2 linked regions of the Nothobranchius furzeri genome follow. The main gene of each other region encodes a partner of the protein of the gene in region 2 in a complex. Links are inferred from orthologs where the notes say so. Each region holds a gene or a part of one and is shown on either strand. Other genes may lie near its edges.

Evidence for each region.
Region 1: cinp (region 2) and afg2b share a complex: the UniProt entries of both Homo sapiens proteins name them as parts of the 55LCC heterohexameric ATPase complex. The link is inferred for Nothobranchius furzeri from reciprocal best matches to the Homo sapiens genes CINP and AFG2B.

What each region holds. Positions count from the first base shown.
Region 1 is NC_091749.1:43,208,193-43,212,442, reverse strand, and holds the start of afg2b (ATPase family gene 2 protein homolog B), read right to left. Parts: upstream 2,945-4,250; 5' UTR 2,809-2,944; coding exon 2,215-2,808; intron 2,152-2,214; coding exon 1,966-2,151; intron 1,619-1,965; coding exon 1,334-1,618; intron 1,255-1,333; coding exon 1,069-1,254; intron 974-1,068; coding exon 815-973; intron 741-814; coding exon 531-740; intron 458-530; coding exon 233-457; intron 156-232; coding exon 21-155; intron 1-20. UniProt on the Homo sapiens protein: ATP-dependent chaperone part of the 55LCC heterohexameric ATPase complex which is chromatin-associated and promotes replisome proteostasis to maintain replication fork progression and genome stability.
Region 2 is NC_091758.1:16,265,479-16,269,792, reverse strand, and holds the start of cinp (cyclin-dependent kinase 2-interacting protein), read right to left. Parts: upstream 2,857-4,314; 5' UTR 2,729-2,856; coding exon 2,701-2,728; intron 1,597-2,700; coding exon 1,425-1,596; intron 1,194-1,424; coding exon 1,058-1,193; intron 828-1,057; coding exon 698-827; intron 251-697; coding exon 48-250; 3' UTR 1-47. Other genes in the region: H/ACA ribonucleoprotein complex subunit DKC1, read left to right, coding at 3,438-3,453. UniProt on the Homo sapiens protein: Component of the DNA replication complex, which interacts with two kinases, CDK2 and CDC7, thereby providing a functional and physical link between CDK2 and CDC7 during firing of the origins of replication.

The sequences.
Region 1 (4,250 bases), on a different chromosome or scaffold from region 2:
CTTTTAGCATCATAATTTACCTGTTGATCAGGTGGTGGGACATAGATGATGTGGTCCAGCCTGCCAGGCCTGAGTAGCGCACTGTCTAAGCAGTCGGGTCTGTTTGTGGCAGCTACCACCATCACATCTTTGTTGCACACCTCCTGGCTGTCCAGCTGTGAAAGAACAAAAACGACGTATTACACAAGTCCCACTGTGCTGAAGCGGTGTGATGTCATCAGCATCATACGACCTCCTCTGTGTGAGTCTCCTGCACTCCCTCTGTCTGGAGGATTTTTCCTGTTCCTCTCCTTTCCAGCACCCTCAGGCCGATCCCGTCCATCTCATTCAGGAGAACAGACAGCAGGCGGGTCTGCACGCTGTTGGGGGTTTGATTGTTCGACCGCGAACCAATCAGAGAGTCTATCTCATCCAGGAACAGGATGCAGGGAGCACAGGAGCGGGCCTGGCGAAACAGCTACACGAGCACAAGCAGATTGATAAAAGCAGGTCTGATGTCTGCAGGTCGCTGATTTTAAAAGTTTATGTACCAGAGCTAAAGCTTTTTCTGAGTCTCCGACATAAGAGGAGTACAGGTCAGCCCCGCTGACAGACAGGAAGGCACAGTGGGAGAAGGAGGCGGCAGCTTTCACCAGCGTCGTCTTTGCACATCCTGGCGGTCCATAAAGCAGAACGCCATGGGGCCGACTCAGTCCTAGACGCACAAACGCCTCGGGGTACCTCATGGGCCACTCAATGCTCTTTAAAAGGCAATATGGAGAGGAGGTTTTGAGTGTTATAGTTTCAGTCACCCCCCCCCCCCCCATTTAGCTACCTGTCTTAGTTTGACTTTGACCTGATCCAGGCCTCCTATGTGCTCCCACAACACGGAGGACAGCTCCGTCCGGCCAAGGCTGCTCCTCAAGCTGGAGGGATGCACGGACTTCAGAGCCTCCAGGAAGTGTTTCATCTCCACCTCCTGCTTCCCTGAACCCTGCAGACATAACAACAACAACGAAGCTTAAGATGCATGTAGAGAATTCACAGAAACAGTTCAAATGTCATTGTTCTGCTTCAGTGCCAGTTTACCTTCACTTTTTGCCTTAAAGCGTGCATGGCCGCCTCCCTGCACAGAGCACTCAGGTCGGCCCCAACGTACCCTGTGGTGATTTGTGCAAGTTCTGTCATGTTGAGCCTGGGACACACAGGCATCCTCTCACACAGGACGGTCAGGATGGCCTTTCTCTGCTGCACGGTTGGAGCACCAATAATGACCTGGAGGAGAGACAAACACTCACAGCTCAAAGCTTTATTCTGTTTCTAATTCACTCTGATAAACACATTTAAAAAGTACCTCTCGGTCAAATCTCCCAGGCCTCCGCAGCGCTGGGTCCAAACTGTCAGGGCGATTAGTGGCTCCTACGATGAGGAAGCGGTCAGACCGATTCATCCCATCCATCAGTGTAAGCAGCTGAGCCACCAGCCGGTTCTCTGGTGCAGACGAGCCGGTTCTCCTGGGAAACAACGAGTCCAGCTCATCTAAGAAGAGCACACAGGGACCCTCTTCTGCTGCTGATCGAGCACGCTCAAACACAGCCCGCAGCGTCTCCTCGCTCTCGCCCGGTCGAGATCCTACCACCTGGAAGAACAGTTCACCACCAATAAATCAGATGTAAATGAGAACAGCCATTTCAATCTGCACTAAATAACCTTTCTGCTGGGTTAAACGTTGCTGTTTGTTTTGTCTCTAGTATAAAAGTATAGTATAAAAGTCTGTATAAGCCGTCAACATTAATAGTTTGCGCAACAGAATGGCATCTGAAAAAAATGTATTTGCCTCTTTGACTTTTCTTCTGTCATGTAGCTTTATTTAAATTCTTGACCATTTCAGTAAACTTATATATTTCCTGTGTGTAAAATATGACTTCCTGACAGTGTTTTATTGTTTTGCTACTCATCCATATCAGTGCAAACACACAGTAGTACCTCTGGCCCTCGGACCACCACCAGGCTGGCTCCCACCTCCCCAACCACCTTGTGGACCAACAGGGTTTTGCCGACTCCAGGAGGCCCGATCAGCAGAACGCCCCTGGGGCAGGACACCCCCAGGGAGCTGAGGGTGTTTGGGTACATCAGGGGCAGCTGCAGCATCTCTCTCAGAGAAGCACTCACCTACAAAGGAAAACGGTTTCAGCTTTTATCACTATAATAGTAAGTTATGCTCAAACAGCTGACCTCGTCCAGTCCTCCCAGTGGGGGCGTGTGCTGGTCCAGTAGCTGGCTCTTGTAATGCCTGAGAGTCTGGATCCCGGATATCTCCACAGCTGTTTTTGAGGTAACCATACCTGCACTGTCAGAGTCCGGTCTGATTCCGTCTATAACAACAAACCTGATCTCTGTATCATAGTCCTCCATGTTTACCACATACTGCTTGTGAACATAAACACCCTTCAGCATGTCCTTCACGAGCTCATGAACAACCCAAGCGGGTGTGTGCTTCCTAAAGCCAGCGCTCTGCACCACCACCGTTACCTTAACTCCCCTCAGTTTAGGGCAGGACACAGGTGTGAGATGGCGTGGCTCCAGACTCAGGTGCACGGGAGGCTGAGAGATCAAAGTGGGAGCGATACACTTCAGGTCCATCTGCAGGAACCCCTCCGCCAGGTCCGAACGGGGCCAGGCGGTACAGAGGCAGCTCCCCCCGGGAACAGACACCAGCAGAGGAGAGCCTAGTCTCAGGCTTAGCGCCGACATCAAGCCCGGACCCAGCCGGCACCTCTGAGAGCCCCGGTCAGCGGGGTCCGGCAGCAGAAGCTTCACACGCTGCATCGTCCGCCAACAACATGAAGCGGGTAAAGATTAGAACAAGACTTTGTGGTTTTCAGTAGATTATCCTGTTTACAGCCGCCGTCATTCCTGCTCAGTCTGCATGAAAAACTGAGGAACTGAGTCTGCGCAGTGGAAACGTGGGTTTGAGTCTGCGGCTGCGCAGTAGAGTGAAATAGAAAGTCACGCCCACTGACGTAGACAAGTGTTTATATCGGTTTAGAAACATTTCTATTGTCCAGTCCTCAGGTGCCTCAGGCGTGATGGACTGAGACAGTTTTTGACCGTGTCAGGTGAATTTGGGAATTTATGGACACTATATTTTGTGAAACAAGTTAATAGATTACAACTCTTTTATTTGAATGAAAAGACTGAGGAGCACTCATTTTACACGTGCGTGCCAAATTATCACCAGTGGTGAATGAGATTCTACTGAAGAAACTTTGGTTTTAAAATTAGAGCTGAATAAAGAGACAGGAAATAGAAAATCATTTGAATTCAGTGACGTGCGGTGAGGTTCATGACTGGGGAGGCACCGACTGCTCTCAAGTAAGACTTACATATATGATCCCGAAATAAAAGTTTGTTTGCTTTTGACCTTGACTTAAATATGTTATTGTTTTAAAGCTTCTTGGTTATGATTTAATCAATTTGGCCCCACACGGGCTTCTTTTTAATTCTGTTATTTGTCTGCAGTTGGTGTAGAACTGTTGTTACAAATTCATTTGCCCTAACATTATAATCTAGTCCAGTTTAAAGTGTTTAAATGTTGGAGTTTTAGAGCTGGACAAGTTCAAACGTGGTCAAGATGACAAAAAACTACAGCATATGCGTTTCAATAAACTCATTAGGTAAATGCTTCACAACTCCCAAAGTTACAGGATAATGCAGAATAATCAAGTCCGTTTCTGGTGTTTAACCCTCTGTCGGTGGTGTGACTACTGGTAGCCGTTTTGACAAGTTTTAGTGTTCACCTTTAAATTAAACCATATTTTACTGTTAATGCCTTGTTTGGTATCATTCTTTTCAGCAAAACCTCGTCTATGTGCATTTAGTCATTTCTTCATTTTGTCATACTGTATTAGCTCACTGAACCTGAAAGTAAACAAAATAAAATAAAAATCCGAGTTGAATAAAATGACATATTTATTGCAGTGAAAACGACGAACATTTGTAACGAACCTTTTTCAGCACTCAGAATAAAACTATTGGGTGTGAGTAAAACACAAAAAATGCATGTCTAATATAGCAAACAACAGTTAAGTGCAAGTTTTTTTTGCATACAAATGCAATGTCTCAGGCATTTCTCATGTAAAATTACCGTTTTGCTGAATATATATATATATATATATATATATATATATATATATATATATATATATATATATATATATATATATATATATATATATATATATATGTACATATTTACATACTTACATTTA
Region 2 (4,314 bases):
ACCATCGCTCCCACGGACCACAGGAGGGTTCACTACAGCAGGCCAGTCTAGAGTGGGCGATGGCCCGTCTCCAGCAGCAGAGCCTCTAGTCCAAGTCTGGTTGCTGCTGGGATGAAAGGCTGGTGGAGCCAACAGGACAGATAGACCTTGGAGAGGTCAGAGGTCATGGTGTGGGCGACTTCCTGCAGAATCGTCTGCTTCAACTTCAGCTCCTGACTGAAGGCAGCCAGCAGGACACCAGACATCTCCTCTGAAACAGCAGACAGACCATATTAAACTTATTGGTTCAGTGGATTCATCAAAGGTTGGAAGACAATTGAAGTTATTTTCTAATGTGTGTCCAGACATCTGCATCTCCACCGCCAAAGGAACCTGCTGCTCTCATTCCAGAGGACCACCGGGAACACCAACTCCTCCACAAGGAGTGGAGACGTGGGTGATGACTGAACAGGAGGTCTTTGTTATCATCAGAGTTCTAGTTAGTGGATCACTCATCAGAACGTCTGAGGTCACAGCATGAAAGCATGCGTTTGTGATGGTAGCAGCATCAGATTGTTGCCATAGAGACAACTGGACCACCTCATAATCAGCATATACTCCTCCTGCTCAGTTTATGATGCCAGGTGTTGGTAGTTTTCCCCGTGGAAGCAGAACCCCGTCCAGGTGACGTCAGCGTGTTAGCTTCAGGTGGACCTACCAAACTCCCGGGTCTTCCAGCTGAGACACAGAGGGACACGTCTTCCTTCAGGACCAAACTGAAACTCCTCCAGCTGCAGAACGCCACGCTGTATCTCCACCAGGTGCTCCATCTTTTTCACCACAACAACCTGAGCAGAAGAAACACGTGGCTGGAGTGAACCAGGGTTACGTACTGAAAACTAAATGAGCAGAAGTCATTTATTTGACGTGAGATTGAATTAAACGGTCCCAGACCAACCGCAGCTTTCCACACACAGCAGCTGTTTATCAGGTTAGAAAAACTATTTTATTCTGAGACTCAACATATAAACTCCTGATTTATGGAACCGTGCCAGATGAAGGTTAAATGAAGCATCACCATTCTGTCAACGACATCCTGCAGTTTGAGGCATTCATCCTGCAGCTCCGCAGCTCCAGCCACCTGCTGCGCCTCAGCCGATGTGGACTGTGACGGTGGTGGACACGTGTCCAACACCAGCAGATCTCCCTGAGAACTGAAGACATAAACATCACCACAGCTGATGATCCCTCTGATTTATGAGTCTTTAAAAACCGACCGCTTAGAGCTTAATGTAGACAAACGAGTAAAGCTCCGTCTTATGATTGCTCTAAAGAAAACGAGTTATCTCCACCCTTACTCATCTGGATCCCAGAGGGTATCTAGTGTGTGTGTGTGGGGGGGGGGGGGCTAACTTAGAGAAAAATAACCTAAATAACAAACTCACTGCCTCATGTTGACGATACTTGCTGCCAAATTGAATCCTTCGTCGTTCAGCCTGTCCCACCTGAGCATCAGGTTGTGCCAGTCAGCGGCGTTGTCTCTGATCTTCCTTGCACTTCCTGTGATCCAGGTGCACCTCCTGTTTGATGGGGTCGCTGAGGTGTCACAAGAATCACCTAGAAACCGTGAATTTGTGTTATTTCTCCTTTCATGCAGTGAAACGGAGCACACACACACACACACAGAAATGATTTGTTTGTCATACAAAGATCTGCTAAACTAGCTTGGGTAGACAGGTTTGTCCCCCTTAAAGAGACATTTGTCCTTTTGGTTTAACTTCACTTCACATCAGCCATCATCTGACCCGTTTGAGGAGTCATGCTGCAGCTGGTTGGGCCAAACTGAACCTGGACCACAGAAACATTAGCTGTCAGATGAGCTCACAAAGGTCAGGGGTATTAAAGGCCACGGCTCATAGACCGTCTCCAGGCAGCTTCATGGTCCTGGGACCTCAGCTGACAATTTTAATAAAGTAGGAGGTTGATGGGAATGTGGGCAACCACTAAGAACGTGGATCCGAGATGAGATCCACTCTCAGGTTGATCAGAAGGAAGAATCAGACAAACAATGCATCCAGGACTGTTGAAGCCTTTCTGATCCCACCATGAGGGGTTGAAGACCCAGGAGGATTCCTGGTGACAGAAAAACCCAAAAGAACAGACTAGAGATCACCAAAAACCACACTGACGAGCTTCAGGGAGAGCATCATTTTGATTGATGAGATGGAAATCGGCTCTAGAAACACTGTAGAAGATGGAGGAAGATCAGTTCTGTTCTGGACTCACTGCACCTGGACCAAGGATTCCTGAAAAGGTTCAGGGTCCAATCCCAGGACCACCAAGACCCTCTGGAGCCAAATCTACTGTCCAGAGTCTATCATCAGAAAACACAGCTAGGAACACCGAGAATGGATCAGAACCAAGCACTGGACTGTTCTGAACTGATCTAGATGCTGTTGAACATCTGTGATAAGAGCAGAAACATCTGGAGAAAGAACACCTGGAGCAGTGTGGCCACGAGTAATGGGACAGAATACCTGCGGACAGGAACGATCTAAATAAGTTGTCCTAGTGAATGTTGATGAGGCAGCTGGGTTCTGCAGGGTTTCATTTACAACCCTGCAGTAAAACATCCACACGTCATCAGAATGTTTTAACCCGGAAGCTGCAGGTTATTCAGACCTGAACAAAAACTACTTCACTAATCAAGAAGATCCTCACCTTCCATCTGATCCTGAAGTTCTCGCATAAAATCCAGCTGAATTATGCTGAGTCTTCTTCTTCTTCGACGTTTGTGGGTGGTAGCAGTGCAGCATTACTGCCCCCACCTGGCCTGGAGTGGACACACGTTTATCAAACAATAAAAAAGGAAGTATTTTTATTGGATCTGCAGCTGTGGACACTCAAATTCCACTACGCGGAGATAGTGGGATTTTGGGGTTAACTGTAAACACTGATCCGTCCCGTCTGCCGTCCGGGTGGACACTGAGGTATTTATGTTCCTCCGCCACCTCCACCTTCTCTCCCAGGATGGAACAAGCATTTAGCATGTTCCCGTTTCTTCTAAAATCCGCAGTCATCTCATGTTTTTTCCGTTTTTTAACACACTATTGCACTAGAGGCCCACCAGTGATCTGTGTCTCACTACTTAATGACAGACTTATCTGACTCCAAATATCACTGGCCTTTTTTAGTGTTTATTTCCCCCCAGGATGCTAGTTAATTAAAGAAGAGCATTAGAACCACCGAAAGAAAAGTCAGAATTATTTTTCACATTTATTTTTTTCCATTTTATATTTAATTATGTAAAAATTGTATTTAAATAGCAAATTCATTTATTTATTTACCTCATTTGGTTTCATTTCTGCTCTGTGACCAGTTGGTGGCGGTAGTGCACCAAGTACTTTCGTGCCAGCCGCCATAAAACATCAAGCAGAAGAAGAATCTTTCATTAGAAGATGGCGGACGAAGCTGGTGAGTGTCGAGCACGTTTTGTAAGCGACAGTCTGTGTTTAATTTATTGCTAAGTTTGAACATAATTCTGCTGAGTCAGGGATTTTATTAACAACACGTCCACGTGCACGTACAAGCGTGTTTTACGCAGAAGGAATCGCAGTAAAAAAAATTCCTAAGTTGGTCTATGAGGAGGTTTGGCAGCGTCTGAGCCAGTTAAAACAAACAAATCCCTCCACGTGTCCAACATGCTTTAGTAGTTGGGTTTAATTCAATAACAGAACTAAGGGTTTGCTCTGTGGACTCGTGTTTTCTTCATAAGCTCCAGCAGCGTTTAGTGTAGTTAACTTTGAGAGAGCGGGTTCTCGGTCAGTGGCCTGTTAGCTCCGCTAGCAGCCACGTGCGCTCCACCACGTGCTGCAGCTGCAGGCCACGTGGGCTCTATATCATTCATTTACAGTTTTCCAAATTTACCAAACTGCAACAGGGATTTAAATTTCTGTTCCTTCAGATAAAATACTTTCTTTCGGTCGTACTTTTTCCACTGAAAGGCCCTTTTGGGCTCAGAGTTGCACTGGAGCAGGGCCCATCTCCAGGGCCACCATGCTGCACGTGCTGCAGGTTTGCTGCTCCTGCACACATGAAGGTAATCGCCTGGATAAACCTGTTGAACACTCTTTTAAAAAGCAGGTGTAGTATGGTCCCTGGAGTTAGTGACCTTTAACCTGAGGTTACCTGGGACCAGTAACCTGTTATAATGCAATGTTCAGTTCCCGGTGGGCATGAAGACTCGTCTAGAATATTGGTGAACACTTGAGCAGTCTGGCTAGTGACAAAACACCACTTAGGGCCCGGTAGATTGTTGTTCTCTGAGAAAATCCT